Linked DNA regions of Anolis sagrei. The protein of the gene in region 4 purifies or fractionates together with the protein of the main gene of each other region. This does not show direct contact. Links are inferred from orthologs where the notes say so. Each region holds a gene or a part of one and is shown on either strand. Other genes may lie near its edges. The genes, in order: NASP, CHAF1A, CDIN1 and ASF1A.

Region 1 (7,565 bases), on a different chromosome or scaffold from region 4:
AGGAATGGGGCTTTTGATTTAATTTTTATGTGTTTTTATGTGTTGAAAAACATGAAATCGGTTCAAAGCTGTTTTTGTGCTTTACATAAGATGCAAGGAAAAGTCAGAGTCTCAAAATCTCAAAGTTGTTTACCTCAGAGATGACTGATTTTATATAATGTGGAATCAGACCAATTCATGTGATATATTGCTTTAAAAATGGACAGCTCCAGTATGTATGCACATACTGTTATTTTCAGACGTTGTCTGTTAAATGGTGCTGAGAGTGGAGGAAAGAAATGCAGCAGCCACCATTTCTTCAGCTGTGTTTTGTTCATGTAACAAAGCATAAACACCTCTTGCTTGTTAGAAAGGCTTTCAAATACGGAGTTGTGCAAAATGCTTTGAAATGGCTAAAACATGACTTGTTCTGGATAAAGGAAGAGGATATGCATGGTAGTGACATCCTATTGTGAAAATGGGACCAAATAATCCTTTGCTGCCGTAAATGGTAAAAACAGATGCTTTACTGGTCCTGAAAAATTTGGGAGCTTTTTGTTTGCCCACTATTTCAAAAGGTAGCTTTATTATGAATACAGTGAGATGAAAATAGTTGTATTATTAGTATTGTGTGCCCCCTAGTGGCTCTTGGGATACAGAAGCAAAGTATACTATCAGCTCTGTCTTTTCAAGCATTAAATGGCTTTCCAAAAAAGTATTGAGCTGCTTTCCATGTTCAAAACGTCTTCCCTTTTCATTAGATTCTTCCTTCCAAGTTCAAGTTTTGTGTTTGCGTTTTTTTTAAAGTTCCAAACTGACCACCGTGTTGCTTCATTAGAGGTGTAAACAATACTTAAAATGCCATTTTGTTTTGTTTTTTTGCCCTGCTGATTTAACTCAGAGGGTCACTTTTAGAAATTGGTAGAAGTACATGACTGAGTTTAGTAATTAGGTACACTAAGAAATGCCATTTATTTTTCTTTCCTTGTCTTTCACAGGTGGAGGGAAAACTAATAGCAAGGGATGCTGGACATCCTCTCTATCCCTTCAATGAACCATATTGATTCCAGTAGTTTACAGCACTGAAGGAAACTACGTTGAAGACTGCCACTTCAATCTGATATTAGACTTTCAAAAATCAAAATAAAATGTTGTGTTTCTTTAAGAATGTATATTTACCTTTATTAATTAACACATGTTCAAAAGAAATCAGAGAGCCTGTATGTGAGACTCCTGAGTGTACTAACCTGCCTTGATCTTTCTTTACAAAGTTGACCATGATCCCCATTAGAAATACAGGCTCAATGCAAGGAAAAGGAATAAATTGTTGAAGGTGTACCGTGAAAGCATTTTAAAATGAAAATGCACCACAAGTTTGCACTTCTGCCTTCATTCAGAATTACAAAGCTATGCTTAGCAGTGTTAATGTTATCATTAATATGTATGTGTTCAGTAGTGCAAACCGGTTTGTAGGAGTGTAGTTAAAAGAGATGTCTCATATTATTGTTGCCTTTGTGGGTGGATGGGAATTTATCCTCCAACACAGTATTTTGATATCTCAATAATTTAGTAGCATATCTTTCTCCTTTTTTACATGGATTGTGTTATACATTAATTGGATGGATGGTGAAGTTCAGTATAACTGTAATTGATCTATTTGACCAGTTTTACTAAATCGGAAATATCCAGTATCCTTTGGAAATCATGATAACATCTGAACTGGACACTGTAACCTTTTGTTCTGAAAGTTTAAAATTGTCATCTTTATATTTCTTCTGTATTACAAGGATTCTTATGTAAAGTATTAGCTTAAAATGAAAGTTTTCCTTTTCAGCAAATAAATATCATTTTGTATATATTAGAAAATGCTCATAAATGATGTGGTTTTTAAAGAACCACCTCTTTACAATACAATTTGGTTAAAATCCTGTATGCAGTGCACTCTAGTGTGAGCCTTAGATGGCCTATAGCCCAGGCATGGGCAAACTTTGGCCCTCCAGTTTTTTTGGACTTCAACTCCCACAATTCCTAACAGCCTATTGGCTGTTATGATTTGTGAGAGTTGAAGTTCAAAATACCTGGAGGGTCAAAGTTTGCTCATGCCTGAGTTATAGGAAGAATTAAGGGTGCATCCACACTGTAGAATTAATTCAGTTTGAGGCCACTTTTAACCACCATGGCCCAATGTTATGGAATCCTGGAAGTTAAAGTTAAGGAACGCACCAGAGAAGGCTACAAACCTAGGAAAACTACGAGTCTCATGATTCCATAGTATTGTGTCATGCAGGCATGTAGCCGGGGGGGGGGGGGGGCTTGAGGGGCTTCAGCCCCCCCCCCCCCCCCCGAAATTCTCATGGTGGTTCGCGAAAAGGCCTTACTGGTGCATTATTTAAACTGTTATGTTTATTCATATCATGATCTGATCAGCATACTCAGTATATCCCATATGCATGGGGGTATTGGGGTAATGATACAAAAGGTTTGCTAGCCTAGACCCTCTTTCACTCAGCCCCCCCCCAAACTCAGCCCTCCCCCGAAACCCCCCAGAAATTTTTTAGCCCCCCCCTCCCCCCCAAAACAAAATCTTGCCTACGGGCCTGGTGACAGTTAAAGTGGTGTCAACATGCATCAGTTTCACAATTTAGATGTAACCTAATAAGTGTTCTTTTGATGGCTTGGTAGGGCAGGCCCATTGGGTTTAATTTCATTTAGTCTAGCTTCTTGTTAATTCAATTTCATTTCGCTAAACTATGACTCAGGAACACACTCACAACCTTTAACTCTTAGATTGTGTTGTCGAAGGCTTTCATGGTTAGAATAACTGGGTTGCCGTGAGTTTTCCAGACTCTATGGTCATGTTCTAGAAGCATTTTCTCCAGACGTTTCGCTCACATCTATGGCAGGCATCCTCAGAGGTGAGCCTTCGGTGGCACAATAAGTTAAACCCTTGTGCCGGTAGGACTGAAGACCAACAGGTTGGAGGTTTGACTCCAGGTTGAGCTCCCTGTCAGCTTCCCATGCGGGGACCTGAGAGAAGCCTCCCACAAGGATGGTAAAACATCAAAACATCCGGGCATTCCCTGTGCAACGTCCTTACACACGGCCAATTCTCTCACACAAGAAGTGACTTGCAGTTTCTCAAGTCGCTCCTGACATGGGAAAAAAATCCTCAGAGGTTATGAGGTCATGGTAGTGACATCCTATTATAAAAATAGGATCAAATAATCATTTGCTGTGGTAAATGGTAAATTCAGATGCATTACTGGTCTTTTCAACGAAGATCAATGGTATGATGACATGATGGCAACAGTCTTGGACAGCAATGGTTCCCAAAGTGACCCACTTAAGATGTCAAACGGATGTGTTATTGCCCCAACTTTATTTTCCATCTTCATCGCTATGATACTTCACCTTGTTGATGGGAAGCTTCCCACCGGAGTGGAAATCATCTATCAGACAGATGACAAGCTATTTAACCTCAGTAGACTGAAAGCCAAAACCAAGGTTACAACAACATCTATTATAGAACTCCAGTATGCTGATGACAAGGCTGTCTGTGCGCATACAGAAGAAGACCTACAAGCCACTCTAAACACCTTTGCAAAAGCATAGGAGAAGCTTGGCCTGTCATTGAACATTGAGAAAATTAAAGTGCTCTTCCAGCTTAATGGTGTAACATTAGAAAATGTCGACCATTTCCGCTACCTTGGCAGCCGCCTCTCCACAAAAGTCAACATTGACACTGAAATACAACACCGCCTGAGCTCTGCGAGTGCAGCCTTTTTCCGAATGAAGTAGAGAGTGTTTGAGGACCAGGACATCTATAGGGATACCAAGGTGCTTGTTATAAAGCTATTGTCCTCCCAGCCCTGCTATATGCCTGCGAAACGTGGACTGTCTACAGACGTCACATGCAACTGGAATGATTCCATCAGCGCTGCCTCCGGAAAACCCTGCAAATCTCTTGGGAAGATAGGCGGACAAATGCCAGCATGCTGGAAGAAGCAAAGACCATCAATTCCGCTGGACCGGCCATATTGTCCGGATACTTGACCACCGTCTCCCAAAGCAGTCGCTCTACTCCGAACTCAAGAACGGAAAACGGAATGTTGGTGGGCAGGAAAAGAGATTTATAGATGGGCTCAAAGCCAACCTTAAAAACTCTGGCATAGACACTGAGAACTGGGAAGCCCTGGCCCTTGAGCGCTCCAGTTGGAGGTCAGCTGTGACCAGCAGTGCTGTGGAGTTTGAAGAGGCACGAATGGAGGGTGAAAGAGAAACGCGGCTGAGGGGGGAAAGGACGGGGCCTGAGGCTGTTAGGAATGCTGGGAGTCCAAAACACCTGGAGGGCCCAACTTTGCCTATGCCAGTTGTAGATGCACTGAGATGGGAAATCTCACTCATTGGACTACGTTTCCCGGAATGCCCAGCGCTCCCTCGTGGATTATGCGGCTCTTACTGTCAAAGGTTTCCATGCCTTTGGAATTGCATTCTGATTGGACGATGGTGGAGCTGGGCGGCCGCGAGGCATGCCGGGAAAGGTAGTTCCAGGGCGCTGAGAGCGTGCCTCGCGCCGCCGGGGCGTGTCCTCAGGGGCCTATATAAGCACCCAGAGGGGCGGTGGGCTGCATTCGCCTGCTGCCGTGTTTGGTCCCCTTTTTTCCTTGGTGAATTTTTTATTGTCGGCCGTCCTTTTCCAAGCCCGAGGAGGCTCGAGCCAGGTTTTGTCTCTCTGAGGGGAAACGAGGTAAGAAAAGGAAAAATGGGGCTCTTGACTTGGTTCGCGTAATGGGGGAAGGAATTTCTCCTCAAGAGGGGCGTTTTTGGCTTTGCTCCCGCTTCAGCCTGAAGTAGGCGCCTCCACTCTATTGTGGAATCCTTTCCCCCTCGCCTTTAAGCGTCTCTGCATTCTCTATTTGCAACCCTCCCCCTCCTCTTTGTGGTTTGGTACGTTCCACTTTCCCTGGGTGTTTGGGGGCGGGGGGGGCGGTTCTCCTGCAAACCGAGGCGCCACGTGACCCCGCTCGAGCCTTTTGGGCGCCATGTTTAGCGGTTCCCTCGGCCGGCGCGTGCGGAAAAGCGAGGGGAGGGGCCGCGGAGGGGAGGGAGCGCGGTCACGTGGTAGAGGGGCTCGGCCAGTCAGGAGCGGCGGTTGGGATTTGGCGCCAAAAGGTGGCTCTTGAGGGGAAAGAGGGGGCGGGGCAAAGCGAGCCTATTGTTTGCTGAGGTGAGCAACTTCTTCCCCCTTTCTCTCAGGAAACTTCCCAAGCTGCTTGGTTTCTAGGGTGAGCCTGACTCTAATCTATGTTCTATGTCTCCCAAATATGTTTTAAGTAGCCTGGCTCTTATAAGTTTTAATAACGTAGGGCTTGGTAAGATGCGTGTGTATAGGTGTGCATATAAAGCAGGTGTTTTGTACTTCAATTCCTAACAGCTACTGAAGTCCAAAGAACCTGGAGGGCCAAAGTTTTCCCATGCCTGATATAGGTGTCTGTGTATATCTAAAAGAATTAGTCCCTGTTTGATTTTGAAAGCTAAACAGGGTCAGTCTTGGTTAGTTCTTGGATGGGAGGCCACCAATGAGTACCAAAAGCTGTATTTCAGTTAAAGGAACTGGCAAACCACCTCTAACGTTTTCCTTTCCTATGGAATTATGTGGCCATTCAACAGGTGACTTGAAGGCACATTCACACACATAAGTACCTGTCACTGAATGTGTTTTATTTGTGTGTATACGGATGTGCACACATGTATAAATATACAAACATACAGAGTACAGTTAACCAAAACTCTCAGGCAAGCAAAAAAAAAAAATCAAAGAAAGACTTTGAATTTCTAAAGCTCATTTTATAAGATAATGAAACTTACATTAAGTGAAGTTTGTCTTAACTCAGTTTCAAATATTGTATAGCAATATTAAGTCAATATAGAGTTTGTGGTAAAGTGTGAGATATGTAGTATTAGTAAGGTTTACTCTGAAGCAATCAGGAACTGCATTTATCTGGCACTTGCCTGTCTTCTTATATATTATAAATCTGAGCACATAATGCATTTGGGCTAATGCATGGAGTATTACAAGCCCTATGAGAAGCAGCTGAAATAGCTGGGCATGTTTAGTCTTCAGAAGAGAAGGCTGAGAGGGGTCAGGATGGTCATGTCATAGGGAGAAGGAGGGAGCACGCTTGTTTTCTGTTGCCCTGGAGACTAGGACGCAGAACAATGGCTTCAAGCTACAGGAAAGGAGATTCCACCTGAACACTAGGAAGAACTTCCTATCAGAGCTGTTCAGCAGTGGAATTCTCTGCCCTGGAGTAAAGTGGAGGCTCCTTCTTTGAGGCTTTTAAACAGAGGCTGGATCTGAATGCTTTGAATGTGATTTTCCTGCTTCTTGGCAGGGGGTTGTATTGGATGGCCCACGCGGTCTCTTCCAATTCTATGATTTTGTGTCTCCATATCAAAAGAAAATATAATTAGTGTACATGCAAAAATTGGTTATCATATCATCAAGCCTGTAAAGTATTTTCTATTTGAAAGTGCTACAGTATTTACTGCTATGGAACTAACTGCTATCTGGTTGATAATGTGTAAGCTGTTCTAATTTCACATCTTCAGTTTCAGAATGGCAGAAGAATCTGCTGCTCCGTCCACGTCTGCTGACAAAACTGAGAGGTGAGATAACAGTTGGATAATCATAGGAATACATCGTGTATATATTCAAAAAAGGTAGCGTGACAGATATAATTAAAGCAAAGTCAATCATGGTTTTTTGATCTGTGAAAATATTGGTTCTATTTGATAGATCTACCATAAGAACAAATCCTGAATATTGATGGTAGTGTTAGTTGATGGTGGTAAACAGTGGCATGAGTGGGTGGTTAATTTGGCTGTTGCTCTCAAGTCGCACACAGAATGGCTATAAAGTGGTGTACTAATGAAATCTGCTTTCATGTCTGCAGTATGGATGTGGATGGAGAAGCCAAGAAGCTACTTGGTTTGGGACAGAAAAACCTGGTAATGGGAGATATTCCAGCTGCTGTGAACGCATTCCAGGAAGCTGCTAGTCTGCTGTAAGTAATGAGATATGATTGTCACAGAGAACCAATATGCCTGGGTAGGCATCATGGTGTCCATCATATCTATCAGCCCCTGTTAGCACAAATTTGCTTTTCCCAGGAGTAATAATTAGAGCCTCGAGAAAATGCTTGAATGCTTGCCTTTTTTGTGTGTAAACCATCCTGAGTCCTTTCAGGAAGAGAGGGCGGTCTAGAAATAAAGTTTTATTATATTATTTATAAATATAATTAATTTTTTTACACACCAAAACAACGCCTAGTTCTTGCTTACTGTTGCAGGGAGGTTTGGGGTGTGTTCTAAATAGATATTTGTATTGCAGCTTATTAAATATAAACCCATCCTTGAGATGTTTAGGATGGTAAAACAAAGCAGGCAGGTTGATAGTATGTTCAGGATGTGTACTAGAGAACAGATGAGGGATATCCCTTGCTATGCTTAATTCACCTTGTAGCCAATGGCTAATTCATATGTCATCTTTTCCTGATAGTTCTATGCAGCTGGGTCTGGTTTAG
Region 2 (7,181 bases), on a different chromosome or scaffold from region 4:
ATTAAAACGTTGAGGCTTTCCTCCACTTTAATAATAATAATAATAACAATAACAATAATTAAAAATTTATTATAATAGTAATAAATAATAATACATTATTTATTACCCACCACATTATTTTCTTCACAAACACATCAGACACACATCCCACACAAGCCTTTTTTCCTCACCTCTTTCCATAAGCACAATTTACTTTAATAATAATAACAGCAACAACAAAATTAAGTAATAGTAATACTAAATAATACATTTATTAACCACCTCAATATCTCCCTCAGGAAACGCATCAGTCAGACAGGCATCCTACACAAAGCTTCTCCAGACACACGAGTCACTTTAGTAAGAATAAATATATAATAGTAATAATAAAGAATAACATAATAATAATACCCAACTTATTACCTCCTTTACGGGCACATCAGCCAATAGTAAAAATTAACAATAATTGGAATAAATAATAATAATACATGATTTATTACCTATCTTATTATCCCCCTCACAAACACATCACACACCCCATACAAGGCTTTTCCTAGCCTCTTTTCCATACACACAACTGACTTTAATAATGATAATAAATAGTAAAATAGTAAAAACTACTAATAAAAGTAATAATAGTAATTATACACTATTTATTACCCACCACATTATCTCCTTCAAAAACACACCAGTCAGGTACACATCCTACACAAGGCTTCTCCATACACACAAGTCACTTTAATAATAAGAAGAATATATAATATACAGTAGAACCTCCCTTATCCAACCTTCGCTCATCCAACGCAGTCTGTCTCCCGCCCAGATCCACAGCTGTTTCAATACACTGCAATGTTTTGGTGCTAAATTTGTAAATACAGTAATTTCTACATAATATTATTGTGTATTGAACTCCCTTTTTGTCGATTTGTTATAAAACATGATGTTTTGGTGCTTAGGTTGTAAAATCATAACATAATTTGACGTTTAATAGGCTTTTTCTTAATCCCTCCGTATTATCCGACATTTTTGCATATCCAACATTCTGCTGGCCCATTTATGTTGGATAAGCGAGACTCTACTGTATGTATTTATTACCCACCTCATTATCTCCCTCAAACACATCAGTCAGACACACATCCTACACAAGGCTTCACCATACACACAACTCACTTTAATAACAATAATAGTACAAACTAATAATAATATTAATAAACAATACATGATTTATTACCCACCTCATTATCTCCCTCACAAACACATTTGACAAACCTCCCAAACAAGGCTTTTTCCTTGCCTCTTTTTCACACACAAGTGACTTTAATGAGAATAGGAAATAATAATAATAATAAATAGTAAAATAGATAAATAATGCATTATTTATTACCCACTTAATTATCTCCCTCAGGAAACACATCCATCAGGCACCCATCCCACACAAGGCTTCTTCACATACACAAGTCACTTTAACAATAAAAATAATATGTAATAGTACACACACACACATATACAACGCTCTGTTCATTTTGAGTGACATCATAACTCAAAAACTGCTGGACTAATTGCCGCCAAATTTGGCCACAAGACACTTACTAACCCAAGGAGTTACCATCACACAAAAAAACCCTGATTTTGTCATTTGGGAGTTGTACTTACTGAGATTTATAGTTCACCTACAATCGAAGAGCATTCTGAACCCACCAACAATAGAATTGAACCAAACTTGGCACACAGTTCTCCCATGACCAACAGAAAATACTGGAAGGGTTTGGTGGGCAGTGTCCTTTGGTTTTGGAGTTGTAGTTCACCCACATCCAAAGATCAATGATAGAATTGGGCCAAACTTCCCACACAGAACACCCCCCCCCCCCCCCACACACACACAGAGAGAACCCCCATGACTGTTTTCTGGTGGTCTTTGGCAACCCTCCTGACACCCTCTCGCGACCCTCAGGTTGAGAAATGCTACCTTAAGGCCATCCAGTCCAACTCCCTTCACCAGGGCAAGAAAGCAAAGAGCCATCCAGCCATAGATGGCTGTGGAACGCCCTTCCCATGGACATTAGATCAGCCCCTTCATTAATGGTGTTTCGAAGAAAACTAAAAACCTGGCTGTTCGAACAGGCGTTCGGTTAAACAATGCAATGTACACGATGAATATAGGAAACGGAATTATGGAAGACAAATTGGATCACGATTCTAGTTACGAGACATTAATGTGTTGTTATTGATGTGTCATTTTGTATATTATGCTGTTAATGGTTTTTAAACTTTGTATGCTGTTGGATTGACTTTTGCTCTTGTTGTAAACCGCGTTGAGTCACCTACAAGGCTGAGAAATTGCGGTATACAAGCAAAGTAAATAAATAAATAGATAGATCTATATAATCCACACACACACACACATATATATAAGTATATGATAGAAATAGTATCATAGATTTGAAAGGGACCCCTAAAGAAGGACAATTATATGTTGCATGTTCCAGAGTAGGCAAACCAGACAATCTCCAAATCAACACTGACAAAGAAACAGCAGAAAATACTGTTTGCTCACAAAGCATAAAGGCATTAGAAACCAACAGTTTCTCATTACATCATTTTCCAGAATACAAGACTGGGCCACAGCAACGCGTGGCTAGAGACGGCTAGTAACATACAATAAAACAGCAACTCACTTCATTCGTATTGTTCTGAATAATGATCCCTTTCCCGCAGGTCTTTCTACTCCAACAGGCCAGGCCTCTCTTTCCGCTCTTCCCCCAGCTCACCTCACCAAGGTCTTTCTTCCTTCCTGGCCGGCTTCTCCCCTCAAAAGGCGGGAGGAAGCAGCCCAGGCTCTTCCTGCCTTCCGCTCCCCGCATAGGAAGCCCTTCTCCTTCCTTCGTCCTTCTTTCCGGCTTTTCCCCGCGTCTTCTGCCTTACTTTGAGCCAGCCTTCCCCTTCTGACCCTTCCCGCTCGCCGTCCAACCAGGCTCCCTCGCTTGTATTTGGCGGGAGTTCGGGCCACCTTCGCGCTCCAGGGCTCTGATTGGGCGGGACGCGCGGGGCACGTGACCAACCCAACGCGCGCGCCGCCTCCCTCCTTTCCCGATTGGCTCTTGGCGGCTCCTGGCCCTTCTCGCGACAAGTGCTGGAGGGAAGGCGAAGGGGATGTGCGCATGCGCGCTTGCCTTCCAACTCATTCTCTCGAGGTGTAACATAGTGAAACGTGAAAAACAGAAAGGATTGCATCTCCGAAATGCTTCCAAAACCTTCTATCTAAATAAAAATGTAATGCTCGTTTTGTGGGATTAACAGAACTCAAAAACCACTGGACAAATTGACACCAAATTTGGACACAAGACACCTAACAACCCAATGTATGTCCTTCACTCAAAAAATTGATTTTGTCATTTGGGAGTTGTAGTTGCTAGGATTTATAGTTCCCCTTCAATCAAAGAGCACTCTGAACCCCACCAACGATGGAATTGAACCAAACTTGGCACACAGTTCTCCCATTTATTTATTTATTTATTTACCTTTCTTATATACCGCTGTTCTCAGCCCGAAGGCAACTCAGAGCGGTTCACAACAAATACGAACAGCAAAAATTCAGTGCTACAGTATAGAAACAGTTAACAACCTAACACATTACACAATTCATAAACAGTTACTACAATACCCATTCACTGTCGTCTCGTCATCAAAAACATGTTCCAGATTCGTCATCCATCGTTCCATTCCAGTGTTCATTAACCAGTCATTGCACTAATTATTCGAACGCCTGCTCAAACAGCCAGGTCTTCACTTTTTTGCGGAATACCATTAGAGATGGTGCTAGTCTAAGGTCCGTAGGAAGGGTGTTCCACAGCCGAGGAGCCACCACCGAGAAGGCCCTATCTCTCGTCCCTGCCAGCCGAGTTTGAGAAGCAGGCGGGATCGAGAGCAGGGTCTCCCCGGAAGATCTCAAAGTCCTGGTGGGTTCATAGGCAGAGATGCGGTCGGATAGGTACCTTGGGCCGGAACCCATGACCAACAGAAAATACTGGAAGGGTTTGGTGGGCAGTGTCCTTTGGTTCTGGAATTGTAGTTCACAGGAAAAGAAATTTAAAGATGGGCTCAAAGCCAACCTTAAAAACTCTGGCATAGACACTGAGAACTGGGAAGCCCTGGCCCTTGACCGCTCCTGCTGGAGGTCAGCTGTGACCAGCAGTGCTGCAGAATTTGAAGAGGCACGAATGGAGGGCGAAAGGGAGAAGCGTGCCAAGAGGAAGGCGCGTCAAGCCAACCCCAACCAAAACCGCCTTCCACCTGGAAACCAATGCCCTCACTGCGGGAGAAGATGCAGAGAAAGAATAGGGCTCCACAGCCACATACGGACCCACAAGAATACTGGAAGACAATCCTCCTCGGAAAGCGAGGGATCGCCTCATTAAATGAATGAATTATAATGTAGTTCACCTACATCCAGAGATCACTGTGGATTCAAACAGTAATGGATCTGGACCAAACGCAACACAAATACACAACATACAAACCACCTACAAACCCACCAAGAAAATCCAACAAATGCTACGTTCAGCAAAGGACAAGAGGGATCCTCTCACCTCTGCAGGAGTCTACTGTATTCCATGCAGCTGTGGACAAGTCTACATAGGGACCACCAAACGCAGCATTGCCCAAACACGAATCAAGGAACATGAAAGGCACTGCAGACTACTTCAACCAGAGAAGTCAGCCATAGCAGAGCACCTGATGAACCAACCTGGACACAGCATATTATTCGAGAACACAGAAATGCTGGATCACTCCAACAACCACCATGTCAGGCTACACAGAAAAGCCATTGAAATCCACAAGCATCTGGACAATTTCAGCAGAAAGGAGGAAACCATGAAAATGAACAAAATCTGGCTACCAGTATTTAAAAACTCAAAAATTACAACAGCAAAACAGCAGAGAGTAGACAATCAGGCACATCAAATCACTCTCAGCAAAAGATTCCCCCAGGCACTTCCAAGCCATTCAATGCTAATCAAGGTGGTCGGTTGAAACATTCACACCTAGCTCCAGCAGACAAGAGTCCTTTGTCTCACCCTGGTCATTCCACAGATATATAAACCCATTTTCCTACTTCCAACAGACCTCACTACCTCTGAGGATGCTTGCCATAGATGCAGGTGAAACGTCAGGAGAAAATGCCTCTAGAACATGGCCATATAGCCTGGAAAAACCTACAACAACCCAGCAACACGAATACTCAATATGCCCAGATGTGAACACTGGCGGAGTTTGGGGAAAATAGAATCTTGACATTTGGGAGTTGTAGTTGCTGGGATTTATGGTTCACCTTCAATCACAGAGCATTCTGAACCCCACCAACGATAGAATTGGGCTAAACCTCCCACACAGAACCCCCATGTGGGCCACAGCAATGCGTGACAGGAGACAGCTAGTCTATATAAATAAAAAATGAATGTTTGTTTGTGGAATTAGCATAACTCAAAAACCACTGCAACATGCTCTGTGTGGCGTTGCTTTTGAAGACTGTTCAAAAGCTTCAAATGGTCCAACGGACAGTAGCCAGATTGCTCATGGAGCAGCGTTCAAGGAGCATACAACCCCTCTGTTACGTCAACTCCACTGGCTGCCAGTTTGTTACTGGGCACAATTCAAAGTGCTGGCTTTAGCCAATAAAGCTCTAAAAGGTTCCAGCCCAGCTTACCTGTCCAAATGTATATCTCTAATATAATATAAATGGGTTCCTGAATAAGTACATATAACAAAAATACCACTTATACATAGAGTAAACAATAATAGAATTCAACAAGCAGTTATATAGACATGTTGTACTGTTCAATTTCACAGTGATGTCAAACAATATTGTGTAAATTTTGGTACAGTCTCTTTAGAATAATAACAATGTCGTATCTACTTATGTTGAGTAGCTTATAGATCAGCCGTCCACTATATACAACAAAAATGCCACTTATACATAGAGTAAACAATAATGGAATTCAACAAGCAGTTATATAGACATGTTGTACTGTTCAATTTCACAGTGATGTCAAACACTATTATGTAAATTCTGGTACAGTCTCTTTAGAATAATATCAATGTCATATCTTCTTATGTTGAGTAGCTTATAGATCAGCCATCCACGACCGGTTTCGGCCTATCTCAGGCCTTCTTCTGGTGGACTGAAATGAATGTATAAATCAATATTTTGCTCCGGTTGCATACATATAGAACATCTTATACTAAAATGTACTTAAAGAAATTTGTTAAGTCTTCACACTTGCTATTACACCAATATTTGTTGAACATATCCATTAAACACCATGTGTTACAAAACATTTAAGTTACTTACAAGGTTATACACTTGAGAATTTGTTCTCCTCAGGAGATACAGATTTTTGGATCAACAAATATTGAATACAAATATTGAATACAAATATTCAAGGATACCATGCATCTTGCTCTTGGTCGGACCCTCTTCCTTTTTCCTTCCTTTTTCCACAGCATCATTGTCATCTCCAAGCTTTCCTGTCTTCTCATGTGGCCAAAGTACTTCATCTTTGCCTCTAATATCCTTCCCTCCAGTGAGCAGTCAGGCATTATGCCCTGGAGGATGGACTGGTTTGATCTTACGGTCCAAGGCACTCTCAGAATTTTCCTCCAGCATCACAGTTCAAAAGTGTTTCTCTTCCTTTGCTCAGCCTTCCTTATGGTCCAGCTCTCCCATCCAAAGTGGCTACGCGGAATACCATTGCTTTAACTATGCGGATCTTCGTTGCCAGTGTGATGTCTCTACTCTTCACTAGTTTATCAAGATTGGTCATTGCTCTCATCCCACAAAGTAAACATCTTCGGATTTCCTGGCAGCAGTCTGCGTCTGCAGTAATCTTTGCACCTAGAAATACAAACCTTGTCATTGCCTCCACATTTTCTCCCTCTATTTTCCAGTAATCAGTCCGTCCGGTTGCCATAATCAAACCTAGCAGTTCGAAAACATGTAAATGTGAGTGAATCAATAGGTTTAACTCTGGCAGGAAGGTAAGGGTGCACCATGCAGGCATGCTGGCCACATACCTACCTTATGCTATTATTTATAATATTATTTATGTTATTTATTTGTCATGTCAGGGCAACCAGTCAATTATATTACATTTCTAACAGAACAAAGCAAACAAACAGACAAAATACAACATTTGTGAGTTTGG
Region 3 (7,964 bases), about 200 Mb from region 4:
CAGCCACCTCTCCACCAAAGTCAACATCGACGCCGAAATACAACACCGCCTGAGCTCTGCAAGTGCAGCATTTTCCCGAATGAAGCAGAGAGTGTTTGAGGACCGGGACATCCGTAGGGATACTAAGGTGCTTGTCTATAAAGCTATTGTCCTCCCAACCCTGCTATATGCCTGTGAGACGTGGACTGTCTACAGACGTCACATGCAGCTCCTGGAACAATTCCATCAGCGCTGCCTCCGGAAAATCCTGCAAATCTCCTGGGAAGACAAGCGGACAAACGTCAGCGTGCTGGAGGAAGCAAAGACCACCAGCATTGAAGCAATGGTCCTCCAACATCAACTCCGCTGGACAGGCCACGTTGTCCGGATGCCTGACCACCGTCTCCCAAAGCAGTTGCTCTACTCCGAACTCAAGAACGGAAAACGGAATGTTGGTGGACAGGAAAAGAGATTTAAAGATGGGCTCAAAGCCAACCTTAAAAACTCTGGCATAGACACTGAGAACTGGGAGGCCCTGGCCCTTGAGCGCTCCAGCTGGAGGTCAGCTGTGACCAGCAGTGCTGCAGAATTCGAGGAGGCACGAGTGGAGGGTGAAAGAGAGAAACGTGCCAGGAGGAAGGCGCGTCAAGCCAACCCCGACCGGGACCGCCTTCCACCTGGAAACCAATGCCCTCACTGCGGAAGAAGATGCAGAGCAAGAATAGGGCTCCACAGCCACATGCGGACCCACAAGGAAACCCATGATGGAAGACCATCTTACTCGTCCAACGAGGGATCGCCTAAATACTCTCCCATAAAATAACTTGTTTTATATCATGCGCTCAACAGACAAAAATGAAGTAGACTTGGATAAAAAATAGCTTATTTGGTATACTCACAACCTTCATGTGTTCAGCATACACACGTACAAAACTTATCAATCCACCTTCAGATATGCTTGAGATAATTCTATGTGCCACCTGGCCAGGACATCTCTTACAGCAAAATAGCAAACAAGTGTGTGATCTGAGGTCTGAAGTAGTCTGTAATCAACTATAGTATGCATGGGCAAACTTTCTAACTTGGGGACCTTGTGGCAGGCTAGAGTGGGGTGGGCAGGGCAGGAAGGAGGGGGCTTGGAGGCAGAAAGTGAAGGAAAGACAGGAAACATTTGGATCCCAAAAGGGTTGGTACTGGTCAGGATGAGATGGTGGATGGGCGAGAAAAAGTGTATCTGGCGGGAACGAGAGACAGGACCTTCTCTGTGGTGGCCCCCTGGCTGTGGAACTCCCTGCCCCCTTCACATCGGCCCCCTTCCTCCTAACCTTTCAAAAAAAAAAAAAACTGAAAACTTGGCTCTTCAAGCAAGCTTTTGGAGCTTCAGCTTAATTAGATAAACTTGAATTGGAAAACGACCTAGGAATGGCTAAGACGACGGAACAAATGAGGACGGAGCATGATGACATAGTTTAAACATTTTTATTGTTCAATGTTTTGATGTTTTTAGATACATTGTAATGTGATGTTTTAATTTTATTGATGTATGTATTTTATATATGACAGCGAATTGTGCCGATTGTTCGCCGCCCTGAGTCGCCCTTGGGTTGATATGGGTGGGGTAAAAATGATGTAAATAAAATAAATATCTATTAGACCCCGTATTGCCTATTCATGATATAGAATCACAGAAGCCTAGAATTGGAAGAGACCGCCAAGGGCCATCCAGTCTAACCCCCTGCCCATGCCGGAAGACACATCAAAGAACTCCCAATAGACTTATGCGGAAAAGCTTCCAGAGAAGAAGATTCCACCACACTCTGAGGCAGCCTATGCCACTCTCCAGGAAGTTCTTCCTAATCTTTTCAGGCGAATTTCTTTCCCTGCCATTTGAACCCTTTGCTCCCTTGTGTCCTGGTCTCTAGACAGCAACAGAAAATTAGTTTTCCCCTCCTCCTCTTCCTTAATGGTTCGCAGATTATCTGTTGCTCTCTACCTTCTCCCAGCTAAACATCCCCCAGAAAGAAAGGAGAAAGGAAAAAGAGAAAAAAAAAGGAGGAAGAGAAGGATGGAAGGAAGGATGGGTGGAAGGGAATGGAGGGAGAGAGGAGGTGGAGAGGAGTAAGGAAAGACAAATGGGAATGAAGGAAAGCAGGAAGAAGAAAGAGGGAGAGAGGGAAGGAGGGAGGAAAGAGAGAAGGAAGGACAAAAGGGTGGAAAGAAGGAAAGGAGGGAGGAAAGGGAAGGAAGGACGAAAGGGTGGAAGGGAATGGAGGGAGAAAGAGGGAGGGAAGGCAGAGAGGAAGAAAGGAGAAGGAAGGGAGGGAGGGAGGGAGGGAGGAAAGAAGGAAAGAAGGAAAGAGAAGGAAGGAATGACAAAAGGGTGGAAGGGAATGGAAAGAGAAAGAGGAAAGGGAGAGAGGGAGGAAAGAGAAGACAAAAAGGAAGGAAAGAGAAAGGGTGGAAGTGAATGAAGGATGGAAAGAGGAAGAGGGATGTAAGGGAGGGCAGGAAGGAGAGAAGGAAAGAAGGATAGGATGGTGAGAGAGAGGAAGCCCTGGGAAGAGTCCAAGGGGCTGCTTCTGCTAACCAGGGCTAGGTTTGCCCATTCCTGTGCTATAGTGATCATTTGGTCTGCAGCCCCTTTTGTAACTTCTCGTGAACTATAGAGTAAAAAAAGGAATCTGCATACCAGAACATATATACAGGAAGCAATAAGCAACAGGATCATAGCTAAACATTGCTCGAGAAGACTTGAAGAAGGTTGTAATTTCTAACAAAGCCATGGATGGTTGAATCTGTGGGTGTAAAATCTGTGGATATAGAAGATTGGCTGCATTTTCCAGCTCAAGTTCCTCTGCATTGTTTCCATCCTCCGTCACTTTCTTTGCAATCATGATGATTCTTTAAAAAAAACACACAGTTAAGGAGCCCCCGGTGGCACAGTGGGTAAACCACTGAGCTGTTGAACTTGCTAACCGAAAGGTTGCAGGTTCAAATCCAAGGAGTGGCATGAGTTTCCACTGTTAGCCCCAGCTGCCAACTTAGCAGTTCAAAAACATGCAAATGTGAGTAGATCAATAGGTACCGTTCTAGCGGAAAGGTAATGGCGCTCCATGCAGTCATGCCAACCACATGATCTTGGAGGTGTCTACAGACAACACCGGCTCTTTGGCTTAGAAATGGAGATGAGCACACCACCCTACCCCAAGAGTCGGACATGACGAGACTTAATGTCAGGGGAAAACCTTTACTTTTACCTTTAAGAAGTAGAGAGAAGGCAAAGGGGGTCTGGGAAAACATAACAACAATTTGCTCAAAAGGAACTCTTTGGGATGACTTCCGAGTACTTCTGCACTGTAGAATTAATTAATTGCTGGACTGAGGCGCAGCTAGTTAGTAGCCAGCTGCATTAAATCACTACTGACCATTAAATCACTACTGCAACTGTCTTCCGGGCTGCATAGGTCAACAGCAAACTAGACTATTAATGGTCAGGAGCTTACTCTAACCTGGGCTGGTTTCAAAATCATGACCAAAGCCAGCCCCGGTTGGAGTAAGCCCCTGACTATTAAGAGTCTAGTTTGCTGTTGACCTATGCAGCCTGAAAGACAGTTGCATCTGTCAAGTACGAAATTTAGGTCCGCTTTATGCAGGGAGGCTAATTTAACTAATTTACGACACCATAAAACCTTCCAGCAGTGTGAAGAAGAATGAGGAAGTACTCCATCAAAGGACTCGGTGTCACAAGCGGGTGCTGAAGCGGCAGCTCCCTCTGTGGCCGGAATCGAGCATACCCTCATGAAGCCGGAAAAGCTGGAATGTTAAGTGCCTCTGTGTCTGTCTATATATGTTGGCATTGAATGTTTGCATTGGTATCTGCCCTGAGTCCCCTGCAGGGTGAGAAGGGCGGAATATAAATACTTTAAATAAATAAATAAATAAAGCACCTTGATGCCACTTTGCCACAGCGCAGCACTAATTCTGGCCTTCTCTGCCAAAGAGTGTTTGCTGGTGCCTCACCAAACAACTCCCAGGACTTCAGTGGGTGTAGATCAGGCATGGTCAAACTTGGGCCTTCTAGGTATTTTGGACTTCAACTCCCACCATTCCTAACAACGTCAGGCCTCTTCCTCCCCCCCCCCCCATGCCTGGCTGTTATGAATGGTGGGAGTTGCAGTCCAAAATACCTGGAAGGCCCAAGTTTGACCATGCATGGCTACGGGGAATGGTGGGAGTCTCAGTCCAAAATACCGGGAAGGCCCAAGTTAGCCCATGCTTGGCTGTTGGGAATGGTGGGAGTTGCAGTCCAAAATACCTGGAAGGCCCAAGTTGTCCCATGCCTGGCTGTTAGGAATGGTGGGAGTTGCAGTCCAAAACACCTGGAAGGCCCAAGTTGGCCCATGCCTGGTTGTTGGGAATGGTGGGAGTTGCAGTCCAAAACACCTGGAAAGCCCAAGTTGGCCCATGCCTGGCTGTTAGGAATGGTGGGAGTTGCAGTCCAAAACACCTGGAAGGCCCAAGTTGGCCCATGCCTGGCTGTTGGGAATGGTGGGAGTTGCAGTCCAAAACACCTGGAAGGCCCAAGTTGGCCCATGCTTGGCTGTTGGGAACGGTGGGAGTTGCAGTCCAAAACACCTGGAAGGCCCAAGTTGGCTTGGCTGTTGGGAACGGTGGGAGTTGCAGTCCAAAACACCTGGAAGGCCCAAGTTGGCCCATGCTTGGCTGTTGGGAACGGTGGGAGTTGCAGTTCAAAACACCTGGAAGGCCCAAGTTGGCCCATGCCTGGCTGTTAGGAATGGTGGGAGTTGCAGTCCAACTGGAGAAAGAGAAACTGGAGCTGGGACAGTCCCGTAGCAAGAGGGGAGGAGGACACTTTGGGTTGCTGAAGGAAGCGAGGCGAAAAGCCCGCCCCCGCCATTCCTTTCCATTCATTCCAGTTGAGAGAGACTTTTCCCGCCCAAAGCGTCGCTTTCGTTTCCTCCGCGACGGCGAAGGCGGAGCCGCCGAGCAGCGCATGAGCGGCGCTGGTTTCTGCCCTTCTGCGGGCGGGAAGCCGAGAGCCAAGGCCCTTTTTCGAAACAGGCATGTCTTGGCTGCCTAGGCTTTGCCCCGCTCCTTAGGCCGAGCCATCGAGGGCTGTATGCCGGGAAGCAAGCAGCGGGGGAAGGGAAGAAAGTAGTCCTTGTCTGCCCTTTGGTGCTTCCCTGTGTGCTGCGCTCTGCTTGTGGGAGGCAGGCAGGCAGGCAGGCATGCCGCTGAGCAAAGCCCAGTACGGAGAGGTGGCCCTCTTCCTGGCCCAGGTGGCCCCCACCAGGCAGAGCCTGAAGCAGCTGAAGGCCCGCTTCCCCAGGTGAGTGGGCCGCGGTGGTGGCTCCGCCCCTTTCTGCTCCCCGCCCCCTTTCTCGCTCTCCCTCCTTCCTTCCAGGAAGAGGCCCAGACAGCTGCTTTCGAGGGTGGAGGGGGCCTGCTTTGGTGTGTCTGGCTATCACGAAGTGAGTGCAATTCAAGGCCTAGGATGCAGAAGAGACGGCGAATAGGACAAGGAAAGGGGTGCATCTGCACAGTAGAATCCATGCAGTTGGACTCCACTTTGAACTGCCTGGGATTTGTAGTTTGGTGGGGCACAAGCATTCTTCGGCAAGGATCTTGTAAAACTACAACTTCAAGGGAGGAGGGAGGGGAGCACAGTGGTATTTATTTTATTTATCGTGTCATCAGCAACCAGACCATTGTGTTACATTTCTAACAGAAAAAAACAAACAAACAGATTAAAAAAAAACAAAACAAAAAAACCCCAAAAACACCAAATTTTGCAAACTTGGTAGTTGGTTAAATGTCCTTTGACCAGTATCTGGCCACTTGGAGTGCCTCTGGTGTTGCTGCAAGAAGGTCCTCCATCATGCACGTGGCAGGGCTCAGGTTGCATTACAGCAGGTGGTCAGTGGTTTGCTCTTCTCCACACTTGCATGTCATGGATTCAACTTTGTAGCCCCATTTCTTGAGATTGGCTCTGCATCTCGTGATGCCAGAGCGTAGTATGTTCAGCGCCTTCCAAGTCGCCCAATCCTCTGTGTGCCCAGGGGGGAGTCTCTCATCTGGTATCACCCACGGATTGAGGTGCTGGGTTTGGGCCTGCCACTTTTGGACTCTCGCTTGCTGAGGTGTTCCAGCGTGTGTCTCTGTAGATCTAAGAAAACTATGTCTTGATTTAAGTCGTTGACGTGCTGGCTGATACCCAAACAAGAGATGAGCTGGAGATGTCACTGCCTTGGTCCTTTCACTATTGGCTGCTACTTCCCGGCGGATGTCAGGTGGTGCAATACCGGCTAAGCAGTGCAATTTCTCCAGTGGTGTAGGGCGCAGACACCCTGTGGTAATGCGGCATGTCTCATTAAGAGTCACATCCACTGTGTGTTCCACACTGGGCATGTGTACTCAGCAGCAGAGTAGCATAGCGCAAGGGCAAATGTCTTCACTGTGTATGGTTGTGATCCCCAGTTTGTGCTAGTCAGCTTTCGTATGTTTTGTTTCTAGCGCCCACTTTTTGCTTAATGTTCAGACAGTGCTTCTTGTGGTGAGAGATAGATAATACGTATAAGCATAAAAATAACCAGTAGATGCCAAAAGTTAAATTATGGTAGGCTGTATTGAATACTATGTATCTGCTGTAAAATAAACAATGCATAACAAAGAAACCCCCACAACTTCAAGGATCTTGTAAAACTACAACTTCCACAGGCAGCTAAAGCTATTATATAACATATAATAAATCTAGAATAAATATAATGTAAAGTATGGGGAGCCCCCGGTGGCGCAGTGGGTTAAAACGCTGAGCTGCTGAGCTTGTAGACCGAAAGGTCATAGGTTCGAATCCAGGGAGCAGCGTGAGCTTCCGCTATCAGCCCCAGTTTCTGCGAACCTAGCAGTTCGAAAACATGCAAATGTGAGTAGATCAATAGGTACTGCTCCAGCAGGAAGGTAATGGCACTCCATGCAGTCATGCCGACCACATGACCTTGGAGATGTCTACGGACAACCTTTACCTAATATAAAGTATAATACTAATAGTATAATATACTTGTAGTGTACTTGTAGTGTACTTATAATATACTTGTAGTATATAATATACTACCGGTAATAGTATGATAGCTGGGTCTGGAAGCTCCGATCATTACTGAGATGCCACATCACTCCTTCGAGAGCGCTGTTTGCGCAAGAGAGACTCAGCTAATGTAAGCCAGGCTGGAGACAGATAATATAGAAGGAATGTAAGAGTTCTTTAATGGTGAAACCCTAACCTTGAACTGTACCATAAGCCTAAACCCTTACCCTAAACCAGAGATCCTCAAACTAAGGCCCGAGGGCCGGATACGGCCCTCCAAAGTCATTTACGCGGCCCTTGCTCAGGGTCAACCTAAGTCTGAAACGACTTGAAAGCACACAACAACAACAATCCTATATCATGAGCCAAAAGCAGGCCACACTTCCCATACGGCCCTCCAAGGTCATTTACCCAGCCCTCAGTCAGGGTCAACCTAAATCTGAAATGATTTGAAAGCACACAACAACAACAATCCTATCTCATCAGCCAAAAGCAGGCCCACACTTCCTACTGAAATACTAATAAGTTTATATTTGTTAAAATTGTTCTTCATTTTAATTATTGTATTGTTTTTAATTGTTACTGTACTACAAATAAGATATTTGCAGTGTGCATAGGAATTAGTTCTTTTTTCCCCCCAAATTATAATCTGGCCCTCCAACAGTTTGAGGGACTGTGACCTGGCCCTCTGTTTAAAAAGTTTGAGGACCCCTGGTATAGACAATACACAGACAGACAGAACAGAACAGAACAGAAGGAGGTGGTTTGTTTCAGCTGTTTTTGGTGCCACAGAAGGTTGGGCTTGAGTCCAGGGGGTGCTATTGCTTTATCCTGATTGACGAAGAGCCGTCAGGACTTCCTCCTTCCTTTTGGTCACCCAGCA
Region 4 (7,781 bases):
CAAAACACCTGAGAACCCACTGGTTGAGAACCACTGGTCTAGAAAGTCTTCACCTAGGAGCCCTTTCTTAGACCTAGAGAGAGGACACCCTGGGCTACACAGCATCAGGAGTAATGAATCACGTCATTAGCATTCACTTGTAGTGCCTTGACTCACAGTGCCTGCCTCTGGAGAAGGATCCCTCAAAACTAATAATTTGGACTTGCTCAACTCTATATTCATCGCAAGGCCCTTTTTCAAAACACCTTTTGTTTCGTTCTCAAATAGAGGCAGAAAGGGGAGGGAAGCATCTCTCTTCTGTGAATGCCTAAGCTGCCACTATGGACCACACTGGTTCACATGGAATATCAGTGAAAGTGTCAACAGACAAAAATGAAAAAAAGGGGGCACAGATGCTAATTCATAGCACATAAGGAAAAACAGACACTTACCCAAAGGGCACAGATGCTAATTTGTAGCACATAAGGAAAAACAGACACTTACCCAGCTTTTGCTACACTGATTGTTTGTTGCTCCATGGCCTCATGAATGCTGGTTCTGTCATGTTCTTTGATGCTGTTAAACTCGTCAATACAGCAAAGACCCCCATCAGCTAGAACCAACGCGCCAGCCTCCAAATTCCATTCTCCAGAGTCTTTCACAGCAGTGACCGTCAAACCTTCGGGGGGGGGGGGGGGGATGTTTTTTTTAATAATTTGAAAAGTTGTTTTTTTTACAGTGAGTGTTCAACTCTGGCTGAAGAGTAAGCTTTGAGTAATGCTTGTTAAGGTACCTTTCATACTATACAATTATTGCATTATAGTTACGGTGGTGTACAATGAAAACTCTGGAGACCATGGCTCAAATTTCCACTTGGCCATGAAACCAATTGGGTGATCTAGAACAAGTCACTCTCATAGGTCCTTTCCACACAGCTGAATAAAATCCCACATTATCTGCTTGGAACTGGAATATATGTCAGCGTGGACTCAGATATCTCAGTTCAAAGCAGATATTGTGGGATTTTCTGCCTTGGTATTCTGGGTTATATGCCTGTGTGGAAGGTGACGAAAACCTCTTCTGAACTAATCTTCCAAACAAAACCCTGTGATAGGTTCATTTTAAGACCACCTGAAGACAGAAATCACTTGAAAGCACACAAAACAACAACAGCAACTTCATTTCAGCTGCCAAGTTTCTACCCTATGAAGTCATGGGGAGCTCACTGGCTGATAAATTTAAATATCATTCCCTGAAAGGAAAAATCCCAGGATTTCGCAAGAGGGAACCGCAGTAGTCAAAGTGGTATGATAGTGCTTAGCACAGCGGGTTAAACCGCTAAGCTGCAGAAAATCCTGCCGCTCGAAAGGTTGGCAGTTCAAGCCTGGGTTGGGATGAGTGCCTGATGTCAGCCCCTGCTTCTGCTCACCTAACAGATCAGAAACAGAAATGTGAATAGATAAATAGATACCACTTTAAAGCCGGAAGGTAATAAAAGGGGTCCATAAGGACATGCCGACGATTCAATTGGGACGATACCTATAGACGTCAAAAGCTCTTTGGCGTGGAAGATGGAGTGACAACACCCCCCCCCCCCCCCCCCCCCGTGGCCAGAGTTGAGCACAGCCTCCAGATGCTGGAAGCAAAAAAAAAAAAAAAGATGAGAAAGCCTTTTCCTCTGTTTAAGTGTTGTCTGTCCTTGTTAACTGTATAACGGCATTGAATATTTGCAGTATATGTGTTCTATAATCTGCCCTGAGTACCCTCAGGGAAATAGAGAGGAATATAAATAAAGATGATGATAATGATGATGATGATTATTATTATTTGAAACATAACAAGATGAGTCCACAGCAGACAAGATCACTCTGCTGACTGTTGTATTGGATCACACGTCAGATTCCCAAGTGTCTAGTATTGGCAAATAATGCCTGCTGATCCCAGTAGGGTAGCCTTTTACAGCTGGTAATTTTGTCAGTGCCAATTGTGTTTAAGTGCAGGCCAAGGTCTTTAGGCACTGCTCCAGTGTGCTGATCACCACTGGGACCATCTTTACTGGCTTCTTGTTTTTGTTTTTGTTGTTATTATTATTAGTTGCTTAGTGTAAAAGATCTTATGGTCTTAGAACTCATGAATATGACAGAGTTACTGAATATAGGTGAACAGAAACAAGAAACTCCTGGCAATGATCCAGTTACAGAATGAGGGAGTTGTAGTCCAATGTACTAGGAAGACTACGTTGCGAACGTTTCCTCTAGATAAGGGTGCAATTGGGCAGCCTGAAAGATGGCTGCGGGCCACTGGCACAATGGAGGGATAAAAACAATTTGTGGTGTGGCCCTTCAGGCATGGGGATCCCCGGGTCTACTGCTTGGGGATCCAACAGTGCACCAAACCGTATAAAATTCTTCAAGGAATGCCTGATTCATAGCTCTGAGCCATGGCACTTAGTGGTGCCACACTGCATTGATTCTATAGTGTTGGTGCACCCTCTCCAAACTGCAATATGCTGAAAATGAAACTGATTTGCAGCTACTGTTTTCCCTTTTATGGACATAACTGACATTTTTGCCCTTAGCAACCAACCAATGTTGGTTATCCACGAGCCTGTTTATGTATGTAATGCAGGGTCACAATTGATTAAAAATAATCCGTCAGCAGTGACTTGAGAAACTTCAAGTCGCATATAGTGTGAGAATTGGCCATCTGCAAGGACGTTGCCCAGGGGATGCCCAGATGTTTTGATGTTTTTACCATCCTTGTGGGAGGCTTCTCTTATGTCCCCGCATGAGAAGCTGAAGCAGACAGAAGGAGCTCATACACGCTCTCCCCAGATTTGGACCTCCGACTTGTCGGTCTTCAGTCCTGCCGGCACAAGGGTTTAACCCACTGATAAAATATCATGCTGAGACTGAATTGAAATGTATTTATATGAGTTTGGATCCTTGCAGTATTAGATAACCAATTCTGTTTCCTTATCCATCCCTCTCCCTCCACACACATTTCAGCAGACTGCTTGTCCTTGAAATCATAAATGTCATTTGAAAGGGAGCTGCAGCGGGTTAAACTGCTGAGCTGAAGAACTTGCTGACAGAAAGGTTGGCGTTTCAAATCTGGGGAGCGGGCTGAGCTCCCATTGTTAGCCCCAGCTTCTGCCAATAGCAGTTTGAAACATGCAAATGTGAGTAGATCAATAGGTCCCACTTATGTGGGAAGGTAATGGTGTTGCATGCAATCATGCTGGCCACATGATCTAGGAGGTGTCTACGGACAACGCCAGCTCTTCGGCTCAGAAATTACCATTATCTTTGCATTAAAGCCTTGAATGCACTGGTTCTCAACCCAGCCAGTTTACCAGCTGTTGAGATGAGAACCGGAGGCTTGCAAGGTGAACCACTGCTTTAGTGATTCACCCACGGGCTGCCAACAGAACAACAGAACTGGAGTGTACTTCCCCCACACAACCAAGACAATACCACGATCAAATAACCAAGAACACTGAGTGCCATGTCCCACGACTCAGATAATGAATAGCAAATGAGTAATAAATACTCCATAAGCCACACAAGTGAATAATCAGACGCTACTTCACAATACAGTCATAATTCACATGCTGAACAAGCACTGACTAGGAAACATAGAGATAAATTGTCCAGAAAGTCAAATCATTATAAGCCAGCCTCATATTCATCAGGAAATAGCAGTGTAGGACAGGTGACTAAAATGATCAAAGTTCTGGAGAACAAGCCCTATGAGGAGCAGCTTAAAGAGCTGGGCATGTTTAGCTTGCAGAAGAGAAGGCTGAGAGGAGACATGAAGGCCATGTATAAATATGTGAGGAGAAGTCATAGGGAGGAGGGAGCAAGTTTGTTTTCTGCTGCCCTGGAGACTGGGATGCGGAACAATGGCTTCAAACTACAGGAAAGTAGATTCCATCTTAACATGAAGAAGAACTTCCTGACTGTGAGAGCTGTTCAGCAGTGGAACTCTCTGGCCCTGAATGTGGTGGAGGCTCCTTCTTTGGAGGCTTTTAAACAGAGGTTGGATGGCCATCTGTCAGGGGTGCTTTAAATGTGATTTTCCTGTTTCTTGGCAGGGGGTTGGACTGGGTGGTCTCTAGGATTGTAGGCATGGGCAAACTTTGGCCTTCCTCCAGGTGTTTTGGACTTCAACTCCCTACCAGCTGTTAGGAATTGTGGGAGTTGAAGTCCAAAACACCTGGAGGAAGGCCAAAGTTTGCCCATGCCTGGTGTAGGCTGGAGGCTCTTCCACATAACTTCAGAATATGGAGGCAGAAATTCCCACATTATCTGAGTGTGGACTTAGAATCATAAAATCCTAGAGTTGGAAGAGACCTCGTGGGCCATCCAGTCCAACTCCATTCTTCCAAGAAGCAGGAAAGTTGCATTCAAAGTAACCCCGCGAGATGGCCATCCAGCCTCTGTTCAAAAGCTTCCAAAGAAGGAGCCTCCACCACACTCCGGGGCAGAGAGTTCCACCGCTGAACAGTTCTCACAGTCAGGAAGTTCTTCCTAACGTTCAGATGGAATCTCCTTTCTTGTAGTTCTGAGCAAATATTGTGGGATTTCCGAGATATAGGGCGGCGTGGAAGGGCCCTGGCTGCAGTCTGGATGGCGTGGGATGTTGGGCACTGAACCCGGGAAGCCTTGGTCAAGAGGAGGCAGCTCCCTTGTCTCCCTCGGCTGCTTCTCCGGCAGGTGGAGCGCCAGGCGATGCTTGGCTCTGCTTCCAAGCCGGGCGCCCTTCTTGCTGGGCCCGGGAAGGAGCGGCCTCGCGGCGGGAGCAGCCAATCCGCGCCTCCGCAAGCCCGTTTCCACGCGCGGAGTGGGCCCGCCCGGGGAAGGAAGAGCGGCGCAAAGAGGCGAGCGAGCGAGCGAGCGAGGGAAAAAGCGAGAGAGAGGAAAGAGCTCCCTGCGAGGGAACCAACTGGGGGAGCGTGGCTTGGCAAGGGAAGGAGACAAAGCGGATTAGGAGCGGGCTCACTCCCTGGGAAAGTTTCCCCAACTCCTGGCTGGCTGGCTGGCTGGCTGGGGCCCCGGGGCCCTCTTTGGAGGAGGAGGAGGAGGAGGAGGGGCCATGGCCAAGGTGCAAGTGAACAACGTGGTGGTGCTGGACAACCCCTCGCCCTTCTACAACCCCTTCCAGTTCGAGATCACCTTCGAGTGCATCGAGGACCTCTCCGAAGGTGAAGGGCTGCAAAGGGAGAGAGAGGAGGGAGAGAAGGGAGAAAGAAAGGCACAAAGACAGCACTCAAGTTGGGAGGCACTTGTTGGGCCAAGGCTGGGAGCAGCCATGTTGGGCAGCCCTAGGGCGGGGAAGCTCATTGCACACACAGGAACACGCCTATAGACTTCTACACACACACTGAAGTTATACACATAAACAGTTGTACAGACACTTATAGAGAGGCATGCTCACACAATTGCACAGAGAAACACTTATGCAGAGACAAACACTAGAACACAGACACAGGCAAACACTTGTACACAAACATATTTATGGAGACATACAGTAACACCTTTGCACACACAAACACTGCTGGGAGCAACCATGTTGGGTAGCCTTAGAGTGGGATTGCAGGGGTCTAGGCTCTTTGCACACACAGGCACACGCTTATAGACTTCTATATATATACACACACTGAAGTTATACACATAAACAGTTACACAGACACTTATAGAGAGGCATACCCACACATTCACACACCGAAACACTTATGCAAAGACAAACACTGACACAAACACTACGACACACACACTTATACACATGCAAACACACTTGTACACAAACATAGCAATAGAGACACACAATAACACATTTGCTTATGCAGAGACAAACACTGACACAAACAAGAAAACAGTAGAACACAAGCTCACTTAATAGACATGCAAACACACTTGTACACAAACACACTTTTTTTGGCACACAGTAACACACAGAGACAAACACTGACACAAACACAGGCTTACATGCAAACACTAGAACACTGACACACTTATAGACATGCAAACACAGTTATACACAAACACAGTTATGGAGACACACAATAACACATTTACACACAAACACTTACGCAGAGACAAACACTGACACAAACAAGCAAACAGTAGAACACAGGCACGCTTATAGGCATGCAAACATTCTTGTACACAAACATACACTGTGTTTTTGCATACATAAGCACTTACACAGAGACAAACACATGCTTACATGCAAACACTAGAACACAGACACACTTATAGACATGCAAACACTTGTACACAAACACACAGTTATAGAGACACATGATAACACATTTGGACACAGAAACACGTAGAGACAAACACTGAAACAACCACACATTTACACGCAAACAGTAGAACACAGAATTGTGCCGTTTGTAAACCGCCCTGGGTCACCTTCAGGTTGAGAAAGGCAGTATATAAACATGGTAAATAAATAAATAAACACAGACACACTTATAGACATGCAAACACGTACATAAACATACATTTGGTTATAGAGACACACAAGAATACATTTGCACACAGGAACACTTACGCAGACACAAACACTTGACACAAACACTAAAACACAGACACACTTATAGACGTGCAAACACACTTGTACACAAACATAGTTATGGAGGCACACAATAACACATTTGCACACAGAAACACTTATGCAGAGAAAACACTGACACAAGCACACATGCTTGCATGCAAACACTAGAACACAAATACACTTACAGACATGCAAACACACTTGTACACAAACACACTTAGTTATAGAGACACAAAAATACATTTGCACACAGAAACATGCAGAGACAAATACACAAGGCACAAATACAGATATATGCTTACACACAAACACGTTTATACATGGACGCACACTTGTACAGACACATGTTTATATATGCAAGCACACTTTTATACACACACACACACAATAGTTACACAGACATTTATGCGGACATGGTAACATATTTGCACACAGAAACATTTATGCAGAGAAATACTGACTAACAAACAGACCCAACTACACACAAACACACATACGCTTGCATGCAAACATACTTATATATGGACACACACTGTTAATACAGACACACATTTATATATGCAGTTACAAACAGTTACACAGACACATGTATACTTACACTAACACACATTTGCACAGAAACACTTATGCAGAGACACACTGACAGACATGCAGAGACAAATACACACACATTGACACATGCACTCTTACATACAATCACATGTATACATGGACACATACTCTTACACACACACACATTTATATATACAAACACAGTTACAAACACTTACACGGATACATTGACACACAAACATTTGCACACAGAAACACTTATGCAGAGAAACGCTGACACATACACAGACACATGCAAACACACAGAGACACACTTACACAGACACATTTAAGGTATACAAACACACTTATACAGAAACAAACACACTTATACAGACACTTACATTAACAAACATTTACATGCAAACACGTAGCAATAAGCACTGACACATATACAGATACAAATACACACACACAGACATCTAAACACTCACACATACACTTACATGCAGATACTAGCAGGCACATATACAGGCACACATACTGACACAAACTTAGATATGCAGACACAGACTTACGTGCAGACATGTGGACACAGACTTACTTGCAGACATGTGGACACACACATACAGAGACATGCTTATTCACAGGCACACATACTTCCATGGCTCAATGCTGTGGAAACTTGTGAGTTGTAGCCTGTGTAG

The links.
Region 1: the proteins of ASF1A (region 4) and NASP purify together in Homo sapiens (affinity purification with mass spectrometry; 6 studies listed by BioGRID and IntAct, counting the BioPlex papers as one, with this or other methods). This does not show direct contact. The link is inferred for Anolis sagrei from reciprocal best matches to the Homo sapiens genes ASF1A and NASP.
Region 2: the proteins of ASF1A (region 4) and CHAF1A purify together in Homo sapiens (affinity purification with western blotting; 3 studies listed by BioGRID and IntAct, with this or other methods). This does not show direct contact. The link is inferred for Anolis sagrei from reciprocal best matches to the Homo sapiens genes ASF1A and CHAF1A.
Region 3: the proteins of ASF1A (region 4) and CDIN1 purify together in Homo sapiens (affinity purification with mass spectrometry; 3 studies listed by BioGRID and IntAct, counting the BioPlex papers as one, with this or other methods). This does not show direct contact. The link is inferred for Anolis sagrei from reciprocal best matches to the Homo sapiens genes ASF1A and CDIN1.

What each region holds. Positions count from the first base shown.
Region 1 is NC_090024.1:180,327,174-180,334,738, forward strand, and holds the start of NASP (nuclear autoantigenic sperm protein), read left to right. Parts: upstream 1-4,555; 5' UTR 4,556-4,726; intron 4,727-5,165; exon of another isoform or gene 5,166-5,264; intron 5,265-6,591; 5' UTR 6,592-6,598; coding exon 6,599-6,648; intron 6,649-6,935; coding exon 6,936-7,046; intron 7,047-7,565. Other genes in the region: AKR1A1 (aldo-keto reductase family 1 member A1), read left to right, coding at 978-1,043. UniProt on the Homo sapiens protein: Component of the histone chaperone network. Binds and stabilizes histone H3-H4 not bound to chromatin to maintain a soluble reservoir and modulate degradation by chaperone-mediated autophagy.
Region 2 is NC_090034.1:56,230,609-56,237,789, reverse strand, and holds the start of CHAF1A (chromatin assembly factor 1 subunit A), read right to left. Parts: upstream 3,010-7,181; 5' UTR 2,748-3,009; exon of another isoform or gene 2,655-2,747; intron 1-2,654. UniProt on the Homo sapiens protein: Acts as a component of the histone chaperone complex chromatin assembly factor 1 (CAF-1), which assembles histone octamers onto DNA during replication and repair.
Region 3 is NC_090021.1:293,736,372-293,744,335, reverse strand, and holds the start of CDIN1 (CDAN1-interacting nuclease 1), read left to right. Parts: upstream 1-4,952; 5' UTR 4,953-5,228; coding exon 5,229-5,329; intron 5,330-7,964. UniProt on the Homo sapiens protein: Plays a role in erythroid cell differentiation.
Region 4 is NC_090021.1:88,891,198-88,898,978, reverse strand, and holds the start of ASF1A (histone chaperone ASF1A), read left to right. Parts: upstream 1-4,770; 5' UTR 4,771-5,076; coding exon 5,077-5,185; intron 5,186-7,781. Other genes in the region: DNA helicase MCM9, read right to left, coding at 484-658. UniProt on the Homo sapiens protein: Histone chaperone that facilitates histone deposition and histone exchange and removal during nucleosome assembly and disassembly.